Linked DNA regions of Macaca mulatta. The protein of the gene in region 4 purifies or fractionates together with the protein of the main gene of each other region. This does not show direct contact. Links are inferred from orthologs where the notes say so. Each region holds a gene or a part of one and is shown on either strand. Other genes may lie near its edges.

The links.
Region 1: the proteins of POLR3E (region 4) and POLR3GL purify together in Homo sapiens (co-immunoprecipitation; 5 studies listed by BioGRID and IntAct, counting the BioPlex papers as one, with this or other methods). This does not show direct contact. The link is inferred for Macaca mulatta from reciprocal best matches to the Homo sapiens genes POLR3E and POLR3GL.
Region 2: the proteins of POLR3E (region 4) and POLR2H purify together in Homo sapiens (affinity purification with mass spectrometry; 3 studies listed by BioGRID and IntAct, with this or other methods). This does not show direct contact. The link is inferred for Macaca mulatta from reciprocal best matches to the Homo sapiens genes POLR3E and POLR2H.
Region 3: the proteins of POLR3E (region 4) and POLR3B purify together in Homo sapiens (affinity purification with mass spectrometry; 8 studies listed by BioGRID and IntAct, counting the BioPlex papers as one, with this or other methods). This does not show direct contact. The link is inferred for Macaca mulatta from reciprocal best matches to the Homo sapiens genes POLR3E and POLR3B.
Region 5: the proteins of POLR3E (region 4) and GPN1 purify together in Homo sapiens (affinity purification with mass spectrometry; 3 studies listed by BioGRID and IntAct, with this or other methods). This does not show direct contact. The link is inferred for Macaca mulatta from reciprocal best matches to the Homo sapiens genes POLR3E and GPN1.

The regions. Positions count from the first base shown.
Region 1 is NC_133406.1:119,326,766-119,331,439, reverse strand, and holds the start of POLR3GL (DNA-directed RNA polymerase III subunit RPC7-like), read left to right. Parts: upstream 1-1,765; 5' UTR 1,766-1,809; coding exon 1,810-1,935; intron 1,936-2,252; coding exon 2,253-2,382; intron 2,383-4,674. UniProt on the Homo sapiens protein: DNA-dependent RNA polymerase catalyzes the transcription of DNA into RNA using the four ribonucleoside triphosphates as substrates. Specific peripheric component of RNA polymerase III which synthesizes small RNAs, such as 5S rRNA and tRNAs.
Region 2 is NC_133407.1:96,503,192-96,507,694, forward strand, and holds the start of POLR2H (DNA-directed RNA polymerases I, II, and III subunit RPABC3), read left to right. Parts: upstream 1-1,308; 5' UTR 1,309-1,440; coding exon 1,441-1,513; exon of another isoform or gene 1,514-1,521; coding exon of another isoform or gene 1,522-1,522; intron 1,523-2,912; coding exon 2,913-2,996; intron 2,997-3,079; coding exon 3,080-3,173; intron 3,174-4,321; coding exon 4,322-4,405; intron 4,406-4,503. UniProt on the Homo sapiens protein: DNA-dependent RNA polymerase catalyzes the transcription of DNA into RNA using the four ribonucleoside triphosphates as substrates.
Region 3 is NC_133416.1:113,653,061-113,656,980, forward strand, and holds part of POLR3B (DNA-directed RNA polymerase III subunit RPC2), read left to right. Parts: intron 1-3,076; coding exon 3,077-3,151; intron 3,152-3,697; coding exon 3,698-3,796; intron 3,797-3,920. UniProt on the Homo sapiens protein: Catalytic core component of RNA polymerase III (Pol III), a DNA-dependent RNA polymerase which synthesizes small non-coding RNAs using the four ribonucleoside triphosphates as substrates.
Region 4 is NC_133425.1:21,767,025-21,771,648, forward strand, and holds the start of POLR3E (DNA-directed RNA polymerase III subunit RPC5), read left to right. Parts: upstream 1-1,509; 5' UTR 1,510-1,660; coding exon 1,661-1,786; intron 1,787-3,879; coding exon 3,880-3,930; intron 3,931-4,624. UniProt on the Homo sapiens protein: DNA-dependent RNA polymerase catalyzes the transcription of DNA into RNA using the four ribonucleoside triphosphates as substrates.
Region 5 is NC_133418.1:97,364,679-97,369,220, forward strand, and holds the start of GPN1 (GPN-loop GTPase 1), read right to left. Parts: upstream 2,894-4,542; 5' UTR 2,885-2,893; coding exon 2,774-2,884; intron 2,548-2,773; coding exon of another isoform or gene 2,494-2,547; intron 2,072-2,493; coding exon 1,978-2,071; intron 905-1,977; coding exon 731-904; intron 170-730; coding exon 75-169; intron 1-74. Other genes in the region: CCDC121 (coiled-coil domain-containing protein 121), read left to right, coding at 3,180-3,547, 4,014-4,542. UniProt on the Homo sapiens protein: Small GTPase required for proper nuclear import of RNA polymerase II (RNAPII). May act at an RNAP assembly step prior to nuclear import.

The DNA.
Region 1 (4,674 bases), on a different chromosome or scaffold from region 4:
CTGTGTGTTTCCTACCCTGTCCTAGAATCAGCTAGTAGTCCAGGGAGCCCTGGTTCCTTTTATTGGAAAATTGTATTAGAAACCAAGATCTGGGTGCTAAGTGTGCTCATTGCTGCTGGGATATCATTTCTCTTAAGTTTTCTTTTCATCTGGTGATTTTATTCCCCCATCCTAGCTGCCTCTGACTGGTTCCTCAGGATTGACAATAAGAGACAGAGTGAAAATTCAGTAGAAGGAGAAACTTTGGATTCATCAGTGTTCATCACAGTGGAATATACTGTCTTGGGGGAGAATGGATACCATCTCTTTAGGAAATGTCACCAAAAGCTGAATAACAATTCACAAAGTAGGGTCAGGGGTGGTGACTCACACCTGTAATCCCAGCACTTTGGGAAGCCCAAGCAGGTGGATCACTTGTGTCCAGGAGTTCGAGACCAGCCTGGGTGACATGGCGAAACCCCGTTTCTACAAAAAATACAAAAATTAGCCAGGCTTGGTGGCACATGCCTGTAGTTCCAGCTACTCAGGAGGCTGAGGCAGGAGGATCACTTGAACCTTGAAGGTGTAGGTTACAGCGAGCCAAGATTGCACCACTGCATTCCAGCCGGGGCAACAGAGTGAGACTCTGTCTCAAAAAAAAAAAAAAAAAAAAAAAGACACACATACACCAAACAACAACAAAACAATTTACAGAGTGAAGTCCTGCACTGGGAGGGATTTAGACTAGATGACCTCTAAGGGTCCTCCGAATTCTAAGATTCTGTGCTTCCAAGTGGTGTTTAAAAAGATCAATCTGGCCTCTCGTGGTGGCTCATGCCTGTAATCCCAGCAATTTGGGAGGCCGAGACATTTGGATCACTTGACATAATGAAATTCCATCTCTTAAAAACAAACAAATAAACAAACAAAAAAACAAAACAAAGAGCCAGGTATGGTGGCACACACCTGTAGCTCCAGCTACTTGGGAGGCTAAGGCAGGAGGATCACCTGAGCCCAGGAGGTTGAGGCTACAGTGAGCCATGATCACACCACTGCACTCCAGCCTGGGTGACATAAAGAGACCTTGTCTAAAATAAAATATAAAATAAAATAAAATAAAATTTGATTGTAATGTCTCTTTTCCCCTGGTTGACAATGAAATTGATGACTCATCCCTGTGCTCCCACAGTGTCTGACACTATCTTTTTCATGGTAGATGATTAATAAATGTTTCGCTGAATGCATTTCTTTGGATTGAATTGGGGCCTGGTCAGGTTTGGAAGGCCAGAGATAGAAAGAATTCAAAGGTTATACATATAAATGCAGTTAGTGACTGGGCATAGTGGCTCATGCCTGTAATCCCAGCACTTTGGGAGGCTGAGGCAGGAGGATCACTTGAGCCCAGGGGTTCGAGGCTAGAGTGAGCTGTGATTGCACCATTGCACTCAAGCCTGGGTGACAGAGTATCTCTAAAAATAAAAATAAATAAATGCAGATAGGAATAAACATCAAATTGTCTTAGGGATGTAGAGTTTTGTCCGAGGGTCTAAGCACTTTCTCCTTTGTGCTAAACTATATTGTAATTATCTGACCTGTTTGGGGGACCATGTCTCATTCATGTTTATGTTTCCAGAAATTCTCTCTCTGACACTGTGCCTTCTCAGTCAAAATTTGTTGAATGACATTGACTTTTTATGTCCCAGCGATAAAAGATTGAATGTCTTGTACCTCCTTGGCTTCCTGTCCATTCTACTACATTTCTTTTTCTCTTTGTTTTTGTCTTTATCAGGTTTTTTCACTGGATCTCTGAACACCCAGGCCCCCTCCACCATGGCCAGCCGGGGTGGGGGCCGGGGTCGTGGCCGGGGCCAGTTGACCTTCAACATGGAGGCCGTGGGCATTGGGAAAGGGGATACTTTGCCCCCACCCACCCTGCAGCCTTCTCCACTCTTCCCTGTGAGTCTCTCCACTTCCTTCCCAGACTCTCATGTGCCCCTGGCTGACTGTACATGATTCTGAATTCCTCCTGGACCATCATAAAACCATCCTCACTGGCCCTCTCTGTCTCTATACTCCCAATGCACAAGGGATGTTTTGCAGTCAAAGAAGTGTCCACCTTTATTTCTCCCCAGCTTTCAAAATGATATGTTACTCTCCCCATTCTCTTTCAGCCCTCTGCTCAGGGGAATATTAGATTAAATTGGGAGGAGGGGTCTTCCTAAATTTGTACTAGCATTTTCTCCCTGAACAGACCACTGCCCCTGCCTCTTTAGCCTTTGGAGTTCCGCCCAGTACCTTTGCCTTCAGGAGAGGAAGGGGAATATGTCCTGGCACTGAAGCAGGAGCTACGAGGAGCCATGAGGCAGCTCCCCTACTTCATCCGGCCAGCTGTCCCCAAGAGAGGTCAGTTGGAATGCTAGCATCATATTCTGAGTGCCTTCCGTGGGGAGTGCCCTGTGCTCAGCACCACTGGGGGCTGGAGAGGCACAGGAAGCATACTGTCTAACTGGGGAGATCATAATAGTTACTCCTGCATCTGAAATGCATTATAGTATTCATGGTTTGTTTTGAGTCTCATGATAGTTTTGGGACAGCGGGAGGTTAAATATTAAAATCCCATTTCTTGTGTGTAGGTGGGGGGATGTATTTTCTAAAAATTTATATATTTTTTATTTTTTTGTAAAATAGAGATGGGGTGTTCTTATGTTGCCCAGGCTGGTCTTGAACTTCTGGGCTCAAGAGATTCTTCCGCCTTGGCCTCCCAAAGTGCTGGGATTACAGGCATGAGCCACCGTGCCCAGCAAAAATTTTAACAATCTGGATATTAAAAGCACCAACCAACAACAGAATACTGAAATCGGCCGGGCGCGGTGGCTCACGCCTGTAATCCCAGCACTTTGGGAGGCCGAGGCGGGCGGATCACAAGGTCAGGAGATCGAGACCACGGTGAAACCCCGTCTCTACTAAAAATACAAAAAATTAGCCGGGCGCGGTGGCGGGCGCCTGTAGTCCCAGCTACTCAGGAGGCTGAGGCAGGAGAATGGCGTAAACCCAGGAGGCGGAGCTTGCAGTGAGCCGAGATCGCGCCACTGCACTCCAGCCTGGGCGACAGAGCGAGACTCCGTCTCAAAAAACAAAAAACAAACAAACAAACAAAAAAACAGAATACTGAAATCCTGGTTTCTTTTTTTTCTTTTTTTTTTTTTTTTTTGAGACGGAGTCTCGCTGTGTCTCCCAGGCTGGAGTGCAGTGGCGCGATCTCGGCTCACTGCAAGCTCCGCCCCCTGGGTTCACGCCATTCTCCCGACTCAGCCTCCCAAGTAGCTGGGACTACAGGCGCCCGCTACCACGCCCGGCTAATTTTTTTGTATTTTTAGTAGAGACGGGGTTTCACCGTGTTAGCCAGGATAGTCTCGATCTCCTGACCTCGTGATCCACCAGCCTCGGCCTCCCAAAGTGCTGGGATTACAGGCTTGAGCCACCGCGCCCGGCCGAAATCCTGGTTTCTTATTCCCTAGCATACTTTCCACTGCATCACACTATTTCTTAATACAGCCATGCCTTTGAACTAAGGGACAGAAAAAAAAAAAAAAAGTCATCATGGCCGGGTGCGGTGGCTCACGCCTGTAATGGCCAGCACTTTGGAAGGCTGACATGGGTGGATCACTTGAGGCCAGGAGTTTGAGGCCAGCCTAACCAGTATGGAGAAACCCTGTCTCTACTAAAAATATAAAAATTAGCCAGGCACAGTGGTGTGAGCCTGTGGTCTCAGCTACTCAGGAGGCTGAGGCACGAGAATTGCTTGAACCTGGGAGGTGGAGGTTGCAGTGAGCTGAGATCTCGCCACTGTACTCTAGCCTGGATGACACAACAAGGCTCTGCCTCAAAAAAAAACAAAAACAAAAACAAAACAAAACAAAAAAACACTGGCCAGGTGTGGTGGCTCACACCTATAATCCCAGCACTTTGGGAGGCTGAGGTGGGCAGCTCACGAGGTCAGGAGTTCGAGACCATCTTGGCCAACATAGTGAAATCCTGTCTGTACAAAAAAAAAAAATACAAAAAATTAGCCAGGCCTGGTGGCAGGTGCCTGTAATCCCAGCTACTTGGGAAGCTGAGGCAAGGAGAATTGCTTGAATCTGGGAAGTGGAGGTTGAAGTGGACCGAGATTGCGCCACCGCACTCCAACCCTGGGCGACAGTGTGAGACTCCATCTGAAAAAAAAAAAAAAAAAATCATAATTTTAGGTGGAAAAGAAACAGGTTAGAAGAGTGATAAGGGGCCGGGCGCCGTGGCTCACGCCTGTAATCCCAGCACTTTGGGAGGGCGAGTTGGGTGGATCACGAGGTCAGGAGATTGAGACCATCCTGGCCAACATGGTGAAACCCTGTCTCTACTAAAAATACAAAAATTAGCTGGGCGTGGTGATGTGCGCCTGTAGTCCCAGCTACTCAGGAGGCTGAAGCAGGAGAATCACTTGAACCTGGGAGGTGGAGGTTGCAGTAAGCTGAGATTGCACCACTGCACTCCAGCCTGAGCGACAGAGCAGGACTCTGTCTCAAAAAAAAAAAAAAAGAAAAAAAAAAAGAGATAAGGTCCTCACTGAAGCTGACCCCCTGGGCTCTGAGTTTGGGGTAAGGAAACAGATAATTCCTGAGTATTGAGAGGGCTGGACTCTCAGGAACAGTCCTGTTC
Region 2 (4,503 bases), on a different chromosome or scaffold from region 4:
CCCCTCTGCCCCGTCAGGGGTGAAAAGCAAAGCTGGGAGAATTCGGAGGGAATTGGAGCCGTCTTCCTCATCCTTCCTTTTCTCGGGGCTCCCCTGGGGAGGTGCACTTGGAGCAACCCGGCCTACGGGGTGTGCAGGGGTGGAGGTTGGGGAGGGCACCGGAAGGGGTAGGCCGGAGGGAAGGGAGCTCCAGGTGCCGGGAAGTCCACTTCTGGGACGCGGGCGTGGGTCGCTTCTCCCTGGTTGGGCCCAAGGAGGAACCAGAGTCGCTGCTTCCATCTCTCCGCTTTGGGGGAACCGCCTGCTGGTGCTCTGGGTTCTCTATCAGGGGCTGGTGAAGGATAGAACAGATGGCAGAGCGCGCGCAGGGTGGATGGGCAGCATAGAGATAGTGTGAGAGGAGCGAGGGCAGCGCCCAGGAAACGCACAAGTGTGCGGGACAGCCAGCACCAGGAGGAAGGGGCATTTGGGAGGCAGAGGAGGGCCTCAGGGGGCGGGGGCAGTGCCCGGGAAGGGGGAGCCTTGTGATAGAAGCCAGTACCCAGGAGGAAGGGCCAGTGTGAGGGAAGAGCTGGTGTCCAAGGGACAGGGCAGTGCCAGGCTGAAGGGGCACGGAGGGGATCCGTGTCCAGGAGAAGGCAGTGGAGGACTAAGTTGGAGGGGTAATGCCCGGGGGAGGCGGGTGGCGGGAGCCAGGCTGAGGGGGCGGTGACGGGGAAGACAGCAGGGCCTGGGGGAAGCGGGCAGTGGTGGGAGGGTGCAGTACGAGGGGAGGGGACAATACAGGCTTTCCTCTTCTCCATAGCGACATCATGGCAAATTCCCAAACTGGACGGATCCGGCTCGGGTTACATCCAGCAGGGCCGAGCCGGCCCGGGCAGGCCCCGGGGTCCGCGGTGCCGGCTGGAGGGGCTGGGCACCTCTGGGGCGGGGTTCTGCTCCACCTGCCCTCGGCGCGGACTGTGCCCTAGGCGGGCACGCAGACCGGCGGGGTAGGGCTAGGGCCCGGCTTCTCTGGGCCAAGGATCAAGGTCCCTGCCTGGGTTAGGCCCCCACGACTTCCAATCTTCGGGACCCGGCCTCTGAAGAGGGCGCAGCAGAGCCCCAGCTGAGCGCTAGAACCCGCTCTACAGCCGCGGGAGGTTGGACCTATTGTTTCCCCGCCCTGGGCGGGGCCACCTGGACGTGAGACCCGCCCTCAACGCCGAAGCCTCTCGGGAGCAATCTTTTGGGGCGGAAGTTAAGTAGCCCCGAGCGGGAGTCTGTGGCGGAAGTGGGCGCGTTACCACTTGTTTGTGCGCATGCGCCACTCTTGTCTGGCTGCCGCGCATGTAAAAGCTGGTTTTGCTCTTCTCCCCTCTTCTGCACCAGAGCGGGTGCGCGTACTCCCAGCTGTGGTCGCCCGCTCACCCCTTCTGCTGCTCTCGTGGCCCCCTCGCGATGGCGGGCATCCTCTTTGAAGATATTTTCGATGTGAAGGATATTGACCCGGAGGGCAAGAAGTTTGACCGAGGTAAGTAAAGTAGGTAGGGGCGATTTGGAGGAAGAGGCTAACCTCGCGGACATGCCCCTGGACCCCGTGTCCACCCAGCTCTTGTGGCCTGCCCCTACCAGCAGGTCCTGATGTAGGGACCTCCCTCAGGAAACAATTTATGGATGAGAAAAGGGAGACTCCCGAGCTTTCTCTGGCTTCACGCATGCCGTGCCCGGTGCCTAGGTGGCCTTTTGTCATGGTGCTGGCAAACTCCTGGGCATCTTTATAATCGCTACCTGCTCTGTGCTAGACACTGTCTTGTGAGACCAGCCTGGCCAACATGGTGAAACCCCGTCTCTACCAAAAATACAAAAATTACAGGCGGGCGCCTGTAATCCCAGCTACTTGGGAGGCTGAGGCAGGAGAATTGCCTGACCCTGGGAGGCGGAGGTTGCAGTGAGCCAAGATTGCGCCGCTGCACTCCAGCCTGGCAACAGAGCGAGACTCCTCAAGAAAATGAGAGTCCTCATGAGGTGGGTGGTGCCTTCCCCATTTTTTTCTGAGAGAGTAATCCACCCAAGGCTTCACAGCGAGTAATCTGACTTCAGAGCCTATATTCTTGTATTGCCCTCATAATCCTTAGCGCTTTAAGTCTTCTCTGAGTTAGAGTTAGCTGCTTGGTATATCCTTTTTTTTTTTTTTTTTGAGACAGAGCCTCGAGCCCAGGCTGGAGTGTAGTGGCACGATCTTGGCTCACCACAACCTCCGTCTCCCGGGTTCAAGCGATTCTCTGCCTCAGCCTCCCAAGTAGCTGGGATTACAGACATGCTCCACCACGCCTGGCTAATTTTGTATTTTTAGTAGAGACGGGGTTTCACCACTTTGGCCAGGCTGGTCTCGAACTCCTGACCTCAAGTGATCCACCTGCCTCAGCCTCCCAAAATGTTGGGATTACAGGCGTGAGCCACTCCACTGGCCTACACCTCTTAATTTTGTCATCTATCAATAATTTTCTTTTTGATGTCTCATTCTTTGCCTGGAGACTCAGATGTTTTCAAGACGGATACCAGTTCTTATACATCTTGATAACTCCCCTCAGCACAGTGCCTGTCATAGAAAGAGGAAACCTTTGGATGATTGAATAACTTGCCCAGAGTCAGGTTCTCAGTCATCCAGGCAGGCCTAGAACCGGGTATTATTTGCTGCTGAAGTATCTTTGGTTGTTTTCTGGGGATTACGTTCACTTGCCACAGTTTTTCTCCCCTTTTCCTTCTTGCATGTCTGGTTCTGATGGAGCCTGCATTTCTATGAGAGCAGATGAGAGACCAGTGGTTGTAGACTGGGTTAGATTGAGTATTCTGTTGCATACAATCCCACACTGTAGGATCTGCCTTGGGCCTGGCAATACCTCTGTCACTCTTTTCCTGCTTCTCCCCAGTGTCTCGACTGCATTGTGAGAGTGAATCTTTCAAGATGGATCTAATCTTAGATGTAAACATTCAAATTTACCCTGTAGACTTGGGTAAGTATTGAACACAGACAATAATAAGAGGCATTTTGCCGCTTCCGCTATTCTTCACTCTCTGATATTGCTGTTATTTTCAGGTGACAAGTTCCGGTTGGTCATAGCTAGTACCTTGTATGAAGATGGTACCCTGGATGATGGTGAATACAACCCCACTGATGATAGGCCTTCCAGGTGAGGTAGTGGAGAAGGTAATACTTGGAATATGCCTTGAGAACTAAGTAGATAAGTGATATAGAAAGACTCTTCTTTAATTCCTGGAATAAATGATGATCAGCAGAATCTGAGTAACCTTAAGGAAATTTCTGCACTTAAGAATTCAAACAGGCCAGACACCGTGGCTCACACCTGTAATCTAAGCACTTTGGGAGGCCGAGCAGGAGGATTGCTTGGGTACAGGAGTTCAAAACCAGCCTGAGCAACATAGCGAAACCTCACTGCTACAAAAATAAGAAAAAAAGAAAAAAAAAAAAAAAAGGCTGCACATGTTGTCATATGCCTGTAGTTCCAGCTACCTGGGAGGCTGAGGTGGGAGGATTGCCTGAGCCCAGGAGGTTGAGGCTGCAGTGAGCCATGATTGTACCACTGCAATCCAGCCTGGGTGACAGAGTAAGACCCTGTCTCAAAAAAAAAAGAAAAAAATTCCAACAACCAGGTATTTATCTATAACAGTGATTACATGCTTGTGAGTTGTAGCCTTTTGAAGGCTGAGGAGGTGACTGCTGAGTGCCCTAGGCTATGTGGGTCTTGTGTCTTGGGAGGGAGCTTGGTGTGATGGAAAGACTTTGGCACCCCACTTGAGTTCATTTCTCAGCTCTATCACTTATTTGTTGAGTAACCTTAATCTCCTTCAGCCTGTTTCCCCATCAGTAGAATAGAGATGATCATGATCATGCCTAGCTCACGGGGTTGCTGCGAGGACTAAATGACATCATGTTTGTTTGTAATGTGCCTTTTTTTTTTTTTTTTTTTTTTTTAGACGGAGTCTTGTTATGTCGCCCAGACTGGAGTGCAGTGGCTCAATCTCGGCTCACTACAAGCTCCGCTTCCTGGGTTCACGCCAGTCCCGAGTAGCTGGGACTACAGGCGCCCGCCACCACGCCCGGCTAATTTTTTTATATTTTTAGTAGAGATGGGGTTTCACTGTGTTAGCCAGGATGGTCTCGATTTCCTGACTTCGTGATCTGCCCGCCTCAGCCTCCCAAAGTGCTGGGATTACAGGCTTGATACACTGCGCCCAGCCGACCAGTAACCATTTTTAAATGGGATTTTTTATATTGTTAATTACTGTTAAGAATAACTTTGCTGCTATTGCTCCACAGGGCTGACCAATTTGAATATGTAATGTATGGAAAAGTGTACAGGATTGAGGGAGACGAAACTTCTACTGAAGCAGCAACACGCCTGTAAGTTACATAATCTTATGAGGTTCTTTTCCCTCTCTGTGTTCTGAGACTTTGAGCTATGCTCCTGCTTCCTCTGTTGGGTCCCTCTCCTCAGGCAC
Region 3 (3,920 bases), on a different chromosome or scaffold from region 4:
GGAGTCTGTTTTTTATTTCAAAGTCCTTAGGATTCGTTTGATGCATGATTTTGCCCACTATAGTCTGTTGCTACAAACTGAGCTTTAAAGGATGAGTAGGATTGTGTTAACTTGGAGGTAGGTGGGGAGGAGAAAGGCTGAAACAAGGCAAGAATGAAAACATGGAGACATGAAGAAATAAAATAACACTAGACCCAATGGAAAAGTAGGTTCCTTTTATTCATTCAGTAAGTATTTATTAAGGGCCTGTTGTGCACAGGTACTATCTAGGAGCTGGAGGTACAAAGATGAATGTGACATAGTGTCTGGTTTGAGGGGATATGCAGAGACATCAGCTGAGGACATTGCCTTGTTTCACAAGCCTTTTCTAGCATTACCGTAGTTATTCTGTGTATACCTCGGGTAGAGTTGAAGCACGAGGCAGTGAGCTAGCAGTAGCTGGAAGTCTGTCAGAGCTGGGAGAGTGACTGTCCAGCATCCATTCCTCCTTCATATGATACTACCTCATTTTCCTTTGAGGACTGCCCCTCCCCACTGGCAGGCTTCTTGGGATGGTCAGTCCAGTGCCCTCTTCTCTTCAGCCAGGGGTTGGGCATATGACCCAAATGAGGCCAGTCATACCCCCTCATCAGAGAATTTGAATCCCAGGTAAAATAAATCAAGGGAGGGAAGTGGTTGGACCTGATTCATTCTCCCAGTGCTGCATGCAAGAGACTGCCTGTTAACACCTCATTTTCTGGATCCTTGGAATTGCTCTAGTTCCTTTTCTTTCTGAGGCTGAGCATTTCAGCTTTTTTGTTGATTCTTATCCTTCCATTAACTTTTTTATTTATTTATTTTTTTTTGAGACAGAGTCTCAGTTTGTCACCCAGGCTGGAGTGCAGTGGTACAATATTGTCTCACTGCAACCTCCACCTTCCAGGTTCAAGCAATTCTTATACCTCAGCTCCCCTCCCACCCCTGCCCCGCCGAGTAGCTGGGATTATAGGCACACACCACCGCCTCTGGCTAATTTTTTGTGTTATTAGTAGAGATGGGGTTTCACTGTGTTGGCCAGGCTGGTCTCGAACTCCTGGCCTCAAGTGATCCACCAACGTCAGCCTCCCAAAGTGCTGGGATTACAGGTGTGATCCATTGCACCCAGCACTGGTAAATTCTTAATGCCTCCAGTAAACTTCATTTTTGCTTAAATTAGCCAGAATTGGTTTCTCTTCTTTGCAACCAAAGAATGGTTAGCTGATGATATACCTGTGTTTGAATCCTGACTTCCCACTTACTGAGTTGTGTGATTCTGAGTGTACTACTTCAGTCTCTCAGCCTTGGTTTCACTGGCTATAAAATGGAAACAATAATGCCTGCCTAAGATTGTCTTGAGAAGTAGCTGATATAAGGTGTGGTAAGTGCTCTGTAGAGTGCCAGGCACACATTAGGTGCTTATTTATAACTATTAATAGCATGGTCCAGTTAAGGGCAGGAATAACAGTGACAATTTCTAGGTTACTCTTTTTTAGGATTTCATTACATCCGACATAATATATATTCGAAAAGAAAACGGGCCGGGTGCGGTGGCTCAAGCCTGTAATCCCAGCACTTTGGGAGGCCGAGACGGGCGGATCACGAGGTCAGGAGATCGAGACCATCCTGGCTAACACGGTGAAACCCCGTCTCTACTAAAAAATACAAAAAACTAGCCGGGCGAGGTGGCGGGCGCCTGTGGTCCCAGCTACTCGGGAGGCTGAGGCAGGAGAATGGCATAAACTCAGGAGGCGGAGCTTGCAGTGAGCTGAGATCCGGCCACTGCAGTCCAGCCTGGGTGGCAGAGCAATTCCCTCTCAAAAAAAAAAAAAAAAAAAAAAAGAAAACTCTTTTATAGAAGCAACTTTATAATGGCATGACAGATCTAGCAGGAAAAAATAGTAGAATGTGTTGAGTTAACGTAAGGATAACTGAGGCAGCTAAATGTGATCCCCTCCCTCTCCTCCGCCGGTTTCTGTCGTCTCATCTGAGGCTTAACCTGAATCCACTGCAGCGCTCAAATGAGGCATTAGCGGGCTCTGCTTCCCTACCAAGAAGGAGCCAGAATTTCGAGGTACTGTGGATTTCCATGAAAAGCTCACCCAGTTCATTTTTCAACAACTTGTGTTCCGCTTTTGTAATTGTGCAGCTCCTCTTCTTAACTGTTTAAAAGTGCTCATTAGTCCTCAAATAGTTATTTGGACTTTAGGGTAGAGCGTACAAGTGTCTGGTGGTTACTTGCTCCTCTCTGTAAGAGCTGCTTATCCAAATAGCAACAGCCCTTGACGTTTCAGTGCCGCATGCCATCCTTTGTGTCGGGGTTTCCTCATGGTGGCAAAGCCCTCCGAGGCAAGTCCCCACTGACAGTTACAGGTTAATCTGCCAGAATGCCTTCTCCACCTTCCACCCATTACGTTGCTGAAAACCACAAAGTAAGAAAGCTTTATTCTCTGCCAACTTTTAGCCACTCTCTTTGGTCACTTGTAGCTTTAAGTATCTTGCTAACCTAGCTCAGTGATGTTTAGACTAAATCAAACTACTCTAAACATCTGGATATTCATCAGAACCTCATAACGCAATGCCACTTATTACCCTAGGTGACAGTGCTTCTTTGACTGTTAACTCTGTGAGTAGTATACAAAATATTTCCAATGTGAAATCAGGGGATGTTTTTAGATTGATACATTACACCGTTTTTAAAAATATGACATTAAAGGTTTTGTTTCCTTTTCAGACTTTGAGTATCATTTTTGTGTTGCCTTTTCGTTCAAAACCAAATGTTTCCTAAGATACTTGCAGGAAGCACTGTGTGTGTGCATGACTATGTGTACACATACTCACATGTGCACATGGGCTTGGGTATGTATGTATGTATATGTGAGAGAGAACATAGGCCCCTACACCATGCTCTTACATACAAAAAATACCTGGTGTACTCAGCAATCCAGGAATAGGTTTGGTTGTATTTACATCTTCCTTCATCTCACTTTGGTAAACTAATTTGCCAGTGTAATTTTTCCCTAGAACTACTATTAATTTGGTTTTGCTGTTTCCGTTCTAGACCCTACATAATTGTCAAGAAACAGAAGCCAGCAGTCACAAATAAACATATGGAAGAGCTGGCCCAAGGGTACAGGTAAGTAGCCAAAAGTAAAACTTACCAATCTCCTTAATACCCACATACATGATTTAAGAAAAGTGTATTTTCATTTTAGTGTTTTAATTTCTTTCCATCAAATTACCAGCCTGTTAAAAAACCTATTTTGCTCCATGTGAACTTGCTTGGACATTGTAAAATATTCATCAATTTAGATCATGAGGCTTACATAGTCTTGAAGTCAGTTAGTACACAAGTGTTTCTGGTAAGAAAGGGACTTACATCATGTGTCAGTGTAGACACTGTGGGTCTCATCATGAGGTTTCTAAGGTCAGAATTTTTTTTTTTAAGAAGTGGGGACTAGGTTGACAAGAGTTACAGACAGACACTTTGCTGTTTTTATTTCAGCAATTTGTGGTTACTGTGTGAGCTGAGAATAACATGTTTCAGGTATCTCAATGTAATGATATCCTCTGGGAGAGAAAGGTGCTTTGGGCCTAAATGAAAGCCGGTATCTCCTGTTGTTATATAAAATACTGCAGAAAATGCTTTTTAATGATGTCTCTTTCACCAATATTTTCCCAGGAATTTTGAAGATTTCTTACATGAGAGTCTGGTTGAATATTTAGATGTGAATGAAGAAAATGATTGTAACATTGCACTGTACGAACACACAATTAATAAGTAAGTAGAATCCATAGCAACTGTAATTAAAACCTTTTCTGACTATAGAAACTCACTTCTTTTGACAGGAACTGTTAGAAACATACAATCTTTTTTTTTTTTTTTGGAACATGCAAGTTTGTTA
Region 4 (4,624 bases):
AAAAACCTGAAAGAGGTGAAGTGGGGGCCATGAGGTTATCAGGCGGGTAGAGCAGCTACACATCCCCAGAGGTGGGTTTAGAGAGGAGAGGAGGGTAGGAGGCTCGTGGGAGATGAGGTCTGGCAGGTCAAGGGGCAGGAGATTGTTTAGGGTTTACATGGGGTGATAAAGACTTTGGCTTTTATCCAGGTGCGGTGGCTCACACCTGCAATCCCAGCACTTTGAGAGGCCGAGGCAGGCGAATCACTTGAGGCCAGGAGTTCAAGACCAGCCTGGCCAATGTGGCAAAGCCCCGTCGCTACTAAAAATACAAAAATTAGCTGGGCAGATGGTGCATGCCTGTAATCCCAGCTACTTGGGAGGCTGAGGCACGGTAATCACTTGAACCTAGGAAGCAGTGAGTCAAAATCATGCCAGTGCACTTTGGCCTGGGCGACAGAGCGAGACATGTCTTAAATAAACAAATAAATAAATAAATATTAGATAGTTCAAATGTTAAGTAGATCAGACAAAAATCATGCCTGGCCAACATGGTGAAATCCTATCTCTATTTAAAATATAAAAATTAGCCGGGTACTGTGGCAGGCACCTGTAATACCAGCTACTTGGAAGGCTGAGGCAGGACAATCACTTGAACCCGGGAGGCAGAGGTTGCAGTGAGCTGATCGTACCACTGCCCTCCAGCCTGGGCGACAGAGCAAGACTCTGTCTCAAGGAAAAAAAAAAAAAATGCTGGTCTCACCCAAGAGCAGGGGTTTGGGGATTGCTGAGGCCTGGGGGTGCCTGAGTACCATCCTCCTATGACCACCTCTCTTCTCTTTGGGTATGTGAAGGGGCAGACCAGCTGAAATACTCAGCCTGCCCCGTGGAGACCTGCAGCCTTTCCTCTTCCTGGAATTCCCCTTCCCCTCTGCTGTCGTGGCTTACCCAATGCCCTCTCTCCTTCCAGGCACACCCCACGTGCCTCCTCCCCAGCAGAAAGGCCCGCCTGCCTCTCACCTCCCCTCCCTGTTACCTGCACCTGAGGTCAGACAGCCTGGATGTGAAGTCCAGTTCATCATCCTGCTTACTATGTGACTTTGGGTAAAAACGCACACAGTATCTCTGAGTTCCAGTCTGTTCATTATAAAACAGTAACAATCACCACACCTCACAGGGTTATTGTGTTGAATACAGGACAGAAGAGTGTGTGAAGAAGTCATTTTTAGACCAAATCACAGAAGAGTCATCTCACTCAGGATTCGAGTTAAAGTCAGCTTGAAAATCAAGTATCAGAGAGAGCTTTGGACTGTCTGTCTGCCTGTTTGACGTCTGGCTGCTCTTTCAAGCCTCCTCAGGGCCCTCAGTTCTCCAGTGTTTTAATCATGGCTGGGACCAGCTAACCTCTATCCTCCTCTCTGGCAGTGAATTCTCTGTGAGCAGAGAAGAAACCCTTAAAGCCAGTCATTTGCTTTTCCCTCGCAGGTGCAGCCCACACGTGTTGGCTTGGTCTACCCGCTTGCATCTGAATGTTTCTTTTTTTCTTTATTTCTTTTGGCTGATGGGGTATAGGGTTGGTCGTCCATTGTTGACTTCACGGTAGATGTAGAAAGAAGGTCAGTTGGTTGGTTGTGGGCTCCACCTCCCAGTTCAGGGCCTGTTGCAGAATAGGCACAGGGAAATGTTGGTTGAACCACTGACTGATGGTCCCAGTCTCTCGCCCTCCTTTGCAGATCGAGCTCAAGGACTGCGCGGCTGGCTCTCCTCTAGTATGGCCAATGAAGAGGATGACCCAGTCGTACAGGAGGTAACTGCTGCTCTCTGTCCCCTGCCGCCGGGGCTACAGGCAGTGGAACTGGGTCCTTGCCATGCATCCTCAGGCCAGTCTGGGATCTGTTGATGTTCTGGGACCCCAACCCTTGCTGTTTCCTCTGCCTGGTCCCCTCTGCTGTCCCCCAGACCCCTGCGTGGCTGACCTCTCCCTTCCTTCAGGTCTCTGATCCGGCATCACCTCATTCTAGAGAGGCCTTCCCTGACTGCCCTTTCACACCCAGCTCCCCTCCTGGACGCTCCCATGCCTCTCTCTGCCCTTACCTTGGCGATAACTCATACTTGGCCTAGCCCCTGTCATCCCCTAGATATCAGTTCATTGCTTTCTTTCCTGTCCACTGCTGTGCCACAAAGCCCAAGTACAGTGCCTGGCACCCAGGTACCCGGCAACTATGGTGGAGTCATTGATGCAGTCATTCAGCAGCTGTTCACTGGACCACTGTGTGCTGGGGGCTGTGACACATCAGTGAGCAGGGCAGGGAGGGTCCCCTTCCCTGGGAAGCTAATGGGCTGGGGATAGGACTGATGAGGCAGGAGTCTCCGGGTGTAGGGTGCAGGCAGTGGGAGGCAGATTTCCCGCCCCCCCCGCCTTTTTTTTTTTTTTTGAGACAGAGTCTTGCTCTGTTGCCCAGGCTAGAGTTCAGTGGTGCCATCTTAGCTCACTGCAGCTTTCGCCTCCCAGGTTCAAGCGATTCTCCTGCCTCAGCCTCCTGAGTAGCTGGGATTACAGGCGCCCATCACCACGCCCGACTGATTTTTTTTTTTTGAGATGGAGTCTCACTCTGTTGCCCAGGCTGGAGTGCAGTAGTGTGATCTTGGCTCACCGCAGCCTCTGCCTCCGGGTTCAAATGATTCTTGTGCCTCAGCCTCCTGAGTAGCTGGGATTACAGGCACCCGCCACCATGCCTGGCTAATTTTTGTATTTTTAGTAGAGACAGGATTTCACCATGATAACCAGGCTGGTCTCGATCTCCTGACCTCAAGTGATCACCCACTTTGGCCTCCCAAAGTGCAGGCATTACGGGCATGAGCCACCATGCCTGGCCCAGGTTTCCCTTCTTAGAGAAAGCTGTTTATAGTCAAACTCACGTTTCAGAATCCTTTTAACCCAGGACTTAGACCTTTGGAGGGCAAAAGGCAAAAAGTAACTGCATCTGCCTTCAGCCTCCCTATATGCAGAGCCTGACCTCCAGTGGGAAGGGCAGGGGCAAGGAGAAGGTCCTCGGAGATGAATAGAGGTGGTTTTTCCTTGCTTGGGGGATGTTGCTAAGTTATTAGATTTGGGTTATTTAGATGCATTTAAGCTGCATCTACACTGTAGTACGGGGGTGGTGATGGGACAGAAGAGTCCAAGGGACTCTGAGGACAGAGGCAGCGCCCTCTGCAGCCAGGGACCCTGGAATGCTTCCTGCCCAAGTCATGCCTCAACCAACTCCTTGGAGGAGCAAGCAATCAAGGCTCAGGGGAGGCATGTGTGAAGGGCTCTGTAGATGCAGGGAAAAGCGTGTGCAAAGGCCCAGGGGCAGGAGAGAATGTGGTTCATAGGAGGAGCTAGGAAGCAGGAAGGTAAACTGTTGCATGGTGGGGTGGGGGTGGTTAGTGTTGGGAAGACAGGAAGCGAAGCCATCAGTCATGAAGGGCAGACCCCCTAAGACAGGGTGATAGGCCTGTCCAGGAGGGGCAGGTGGAGGGCCCAGCCAGGAGGCACAGGCATAGGTGAGCCCTCACCTGCCTGCCTCTCAGAAGAGCATTTGCCCAGGCTCCAGGACGTTTCCCAATCAGTGCAGCCCCAGGGAAGATGTGTGCTTACTGGGGGATTATGAACTTGGGTGGGGGTGCCAGGTGAACTCTTGCCCTGGTTCCCCTGGGAGCTTTCTGGAGGGATTCCTGAATATACCCAGTGTGCAGCCTTGGATCCCCTTGGTTTTAGCATGAGCTGAGCTATTTCCTCCTTCCCCAAACTGCCTCCCTGAGCCACTACCCCTCACTGAAGCTGGAAGTGCCGGCACAGCCCCGGGAGGTCCGCACTGTGTCCAGTCTCCCGGTTAAGTCATCTTCCCTTCTTCCCAGATCGACGTGTACTTGGCCAAGAGTCTGGCGGAAAAGCTGTATCTATTTCAGGTAATTATGGGACTTGAAGGTAAAGAGGGGAAAAGCAGGTGTGGATGGGTGGTGTGGACTCAGGAACATGGGCAGGAAGCGATGGGAAACCTCAGCTAGGGTTCTCAGTGTGGAGAGTGTCATGGGGTCTCTTTGCTTTCGCGGGTGGGTTAATATTGGTCTCATTTCAAAGACGGGAAAACCGAAGGGACACAGGAGAGGCAGAAGGGTGCAGCAGTTAAAGCTGGGGCTCTAGGGTCAGACTGGATTGAGATCCAACTCCATCACACCGTAGCTGCGAGACCGTGGGCACATTTCTTAATCCTTCTGTGCCTCAGTTTCCTCACTTGCAAAGTGGTGATGGTAATAATGCCTGCCTCATAGGGTCCCCGGGAGGACAGACTGGGTCCACAGTGAAGTGTTTAGGATGCCACCTGGCAGAGAGTTAGTGCCAGTGATGATGGCCGCTGTTGTGGAGGCTCCAAGGGGCAGCTCCATGGCAGCATCTGTGAGCCCTCAGTCCTGCCAGCTGTGAGGGCCCCAGGTTGCTACCTCTGCCCCCTCCCCTTGCTGCTGGGCCAGCAGCTTGTCATAGTGGCCAACATGTATTGAGCATTGACCATATGCAGACTGTTTAAAGCATTTACCTCAGTTACCTCTTTAACCCCACAATAACCTATGGTGGTGATTATTGTGTTTTATAACCGATATATTG
Region 5 (4,542 bases), on a different chromosome or scaffold from region 4:
ATGTGATCAAGCTAAGGAATTTAAGAGTCACAGATTTTTACACAGCCATATTGATATATTAAAGACAGACATACCTGATCAAATCTGGTAGCAAAGAGATTGAGTGAGGTCACTATGCCGCCATTGGGTCCAAGTCCATATCTAGACACCAAGTTGAGGACTGAAATCGCTTATAGATTAGATTATAAAGTTCACACCCAGGCTATCATTCACACAAAACAGCATTATGAAATTAGTGTTCCATTAATGAATATTGGCAACCTAATCCGTGACTACCACACAAACTTAACCACACAGGGAAACATTCAGTATCAAGGTCTGGCTCACTCATTTATGACTTTAGGAATGGCCAGGCAAAATGAAGAAAGCAAAGTGACCAAAATGTAATACAGGTGCATCAGGCAGTGACAGCTCCCTAGCATTGGCCATGAAGGCCACCTGTATAACACCTCCGGCTCTGATCCTCATAAACAAATTAAGCAGAGTACACATTTCACACAGCAATTTACTAAGAGTTAATCCAACTAAACCCACTCATTTCTGAGTTTCCCAGTCTAAAGAGGTGGTGACCAACAGATGATCCTCCAAGGCAAAATACTACCTTGTGGGACCCAGGTAGCTGTCAGTTATCCTGTCCTACTCTCTGCTCTTTAATTACAACAGCCTGCCATCTGGGGAGACAGTAAAAAAACTAAAATCTCAAGCTGAAATAATATTTCTGATCACCTACCTCTGCCACAATCAGCTTCCATCCTTTTGCTTGTATATTTCACAGGGAAAAGGCAAAAACACTCTTTCAAGCCACAAAATACACAGAAACGAAGCCAGGAATGAGTCAAGACCAAAGTAGATGGAAAAGGATACTGTTTCATGACTTCTTTATACTTTACAGTGTCACGAATATCTGAGGAGAAAGAAAAGAATTAACTGGAATGTAATACATGCACATTCCCTACCAGCAGGAAAGTGAAACTGGCCTTCTAGCCTTCTCTTGTCAGCATTCTCTTCTACCACCTCCACTTTCACACTGGTTTCCTTCCTTACAAAGAATAAATGTCAAGTAATTCATGAAGAATGTTAGGGCTAGGAGCTCTAAAGTTATGGTAGAGAGTTTTGTCTCCACAAAGTGAGAAGTTTCACACAAGTCAAACACGCCTAGAAAAAGGGAGGCAAAAATCAAGGGGGAAAAAAAGCTTCTTACTAATTGCCTATTACTAACAAACGCAATGCAAAGGCAATGCAGACATGATTTTTAAAAAGGAATTAGGCTGGGCACAGTGGCTCACACCTGTAATCCCAGCATTTTGGGAGGCCAAGGCAGGAGGATCACTTGAGCCCAGGAGTTCAAGACCAGCCTGGGCAACATAGAGAGGCCTTGTCTCTCCAAACAAAACAAAACTAGCCCAGCATGGTGGCAGGAGGCTGAGGTGGGAGGATCACTTGAGCCTGGGATGTTGAGGCTGCAGTGAGCTGTGAATCACGCCACTGCACTCTGGCCTGCTGGGTGACAGAGACTCTATAAAAAAAACAACAACAACAACAACAAAAAAAGCCTAAGCTGTTTAGGAACTCAAGCAAATCCAAAGGAAATGAAAGTAGATAGTTTAGAAAACATCAAAAAAGAAGGCACTGAAGACTGGCAGGCTGGAGAGTCTGACTCTATTGCCTAGGCTGGAGTGCAGTGGTGCTATCTTAGCTCACTACAACCTCTGCCACCCGGATTCAAGCAATTCTCCTGCCTCAGCCTCCCGAGTAGCGGGAATTACAGGCATCTGCCACCGCGCCTGGCTAATTTTTTGTATTTTTAGTAGAGATGGGGTTTCACCATCTTGCCCAGGCTGGTCTTGAACTCCTGACCTCTTCATCTACCTGCCTCGACCTCCCAAAGTGCTGGGATTACAGGGGTGAGCCACTGCGCCCGGCCTTTTCCATTCTCTTTAAAGCACTTCACACAAGTTATGTTACCGGTTTACTCACCAATATTGGCAGGAAAGGGAACTTCATGTACTGCTGGATCCAGGTTGATCACATAAGGTGGAGTGCCTTGGGCATGCAGGTGTCCTGTGAGCCTCTGCAGAGATATGGGGAGAAGGTTGGAAGGAGACAAAGAGGGGACAAGAGAGAACTTCCTTTACCACCCATGCCTTAAGAGTTTTGCACTTAGATTTTCTTTTACCTGAAATATCCACCCACTATATCCACCACCAAGATACAACTCTCAGTTCAAATGCTACCTTTCTTCATCACCCATCTAACAAAACTTCCCCTACTCATAGTCACTTGTTTACTTGTTTTGATTCTTCGTATGTGGGTTTTCTCTATCTCCTCCATTAAATATTTAGCCCCATGAATGAATCTTGTCAACCTAATTTTCGCTATATCCCCAGTGAATGGTACATGACAGGCGTGCAAGAAATAATTCTTCGGCAAATCTTCACCAAAACCTGTGTGCTAGCACTGTATTAATCTCTAAAGTTACTTGTAAGCCCCTGCCTTCGAGAAACTGGCAATTTTATCAGCAAGACAATTCCTGTACAACGTGGTAAGCTGACCGAGTATGCACTGAAGGTGCACAGAAGACAGCCTTAATTAACCTGGCTAGGGCCCGAGGAGGCTTTGCCGGGGAAGGAACTAAAGTTGATGGGAAACGACCGAAACCCATGCGCCGATACCCTCCAAATCCTCGGAGACCTCCCTCCCTTTCTCCCTGGCCTTCCGCCTGTCGGAGGCAACCTTTTGCGCTCCCCTACTACACCCACGCTGTGTACGTCACCTGTACAAAGGTGGTTTTCCCGGATCCCGCCATTCCCAACACCAACAGACACACTGGGTGCCGCGGACCCCCAGAAGCCTGGGGCTCAGCTGCAGCTGCGGGAGCCGCCATCTTCCTCCTGGCCCCGCCCACCTGACCATAGAGACACCGCATGGCTAGAGAAACTTCCGCGATGTTCTGGGCAGCGAACGAAAACAGAACCAAAGCGTCAGAAAGGAGCGTGAAGGGGCGCGGTAGTTGCCAGGGCATCTTCTTAGTATCGGGCAGGGCTGGTGAGCCAACTAGTGACAGTGGCGAGGAAGTGGGGGCGCTGAGCAAGCGAGAGGAAGGCTGAAGGGAGCTAGGAAAGGGCTCTGATCTCTGCAGCCTGGGAGGGCTTTTGGCCCCAGGGGGAAGGCGAGAAGAGATGGGGTCCCGAGGGCAGGACTCACACAGCAAGAAAACGAGGCGCATGCCTCTCATTTCGAGCCCGCAGAGAGCGGGGAGCGGAGCCACTGGAGGACCGGCTGCTCGGGTTTATTCGGTAGCCGAGGCGGTTAAACAGTTCAGGGCTGGACCAGCCAGGACTGGAGCAGGGTGCAGCCTCCAGGGTTGCTGGGCAGCACCGAGACCCTTTGAGCACCGAACGGATAAACTACGGGAGTTTTCCGCACTTGCACGTTGTTCCCGCGAGTTGCAGGCGCAGGTTCCTGATGCTAGCGCTCATTCCTTGGTAATCACCCTCGGTGAACTACGCAGTTGCCGTGACCTTCAGGATGAATGCTTGGATTCCAGGTGCGAATAGGTACTGGAGGGGAGCTTCCTTCTCACTGAAGGGCTCTCAGAAACTCAGGAAAGATGATGAAAGAGCTTAGAAAAGTATTTCTACTCGCAACCACCCAGTCTGTTTCTGTGGCCCTTTGTAGCTGCTAACAGTGTTCAGTAAGTCATAAGATCTGGCTTTCATACCCAGGCTCTGCCACTTGCTAGTGGTGTGAGTCATGGGCAATTCACTTAAACTCTCTGAACCTGTTTTCTCTTTTTAAAACTGAGATAGTACCTCCCAGGGTTGTGGTGAACGCACGTTGTAAATGATGAGCTAAATCCGTCATCTTTTACCACTAGCTGGATTCCCCTCACCTTGCATAATGTCTGGAACATTCTGGGTACTCAGAAATATTCTCTGGTATAAATAAAGGACAGTTGTGCACTTCCTAAAGTTTCATCAACTGAGAGAGGAATGTCTCATTTGTTCTTTCAGGTTTGCTGAGGGCCCCAGAAGGCTCCTTCCACCGTATCATAGGCTAATAAATAATTTTGTCAAGCCAGAGAAGCTAACAAAGGTGGAGACAATCCTTAAAGAAAAGATAGTGGCGGAAATGACGGTTCTGAACAAGCATATAAAACAAGCTCAAATCCAGCGGGAACAGCTACTGGAGGAATACAGGGAGCTATACCAAGAAAAGTTACTTGTCCAGGCTGAAAACAGGTTCTTTCTGGAATACCTGACTAACAAAACTGAAGAGTACACAAAGCAACCTGAGAAGGTATGGAACAGCTATTTACAACAAAGTGGAGAGATTGAACGAAGAAGACAAGAATCAGCCTCCAGATATGCAGAACAAATTTCAGTGCTTAAAACAGCGCTCTTGCAAAAGGAAAATATCCAATCCAGTTTGAAGCGGAAGTTGCAGGCAATGAGGGACATTGCTATATTAAAGGAAAAGCAGGAGAAAGAAATACAGACATTACAGGAGGAGAAAAAGAAAGTCCAAGCTGAGACAGCTGCA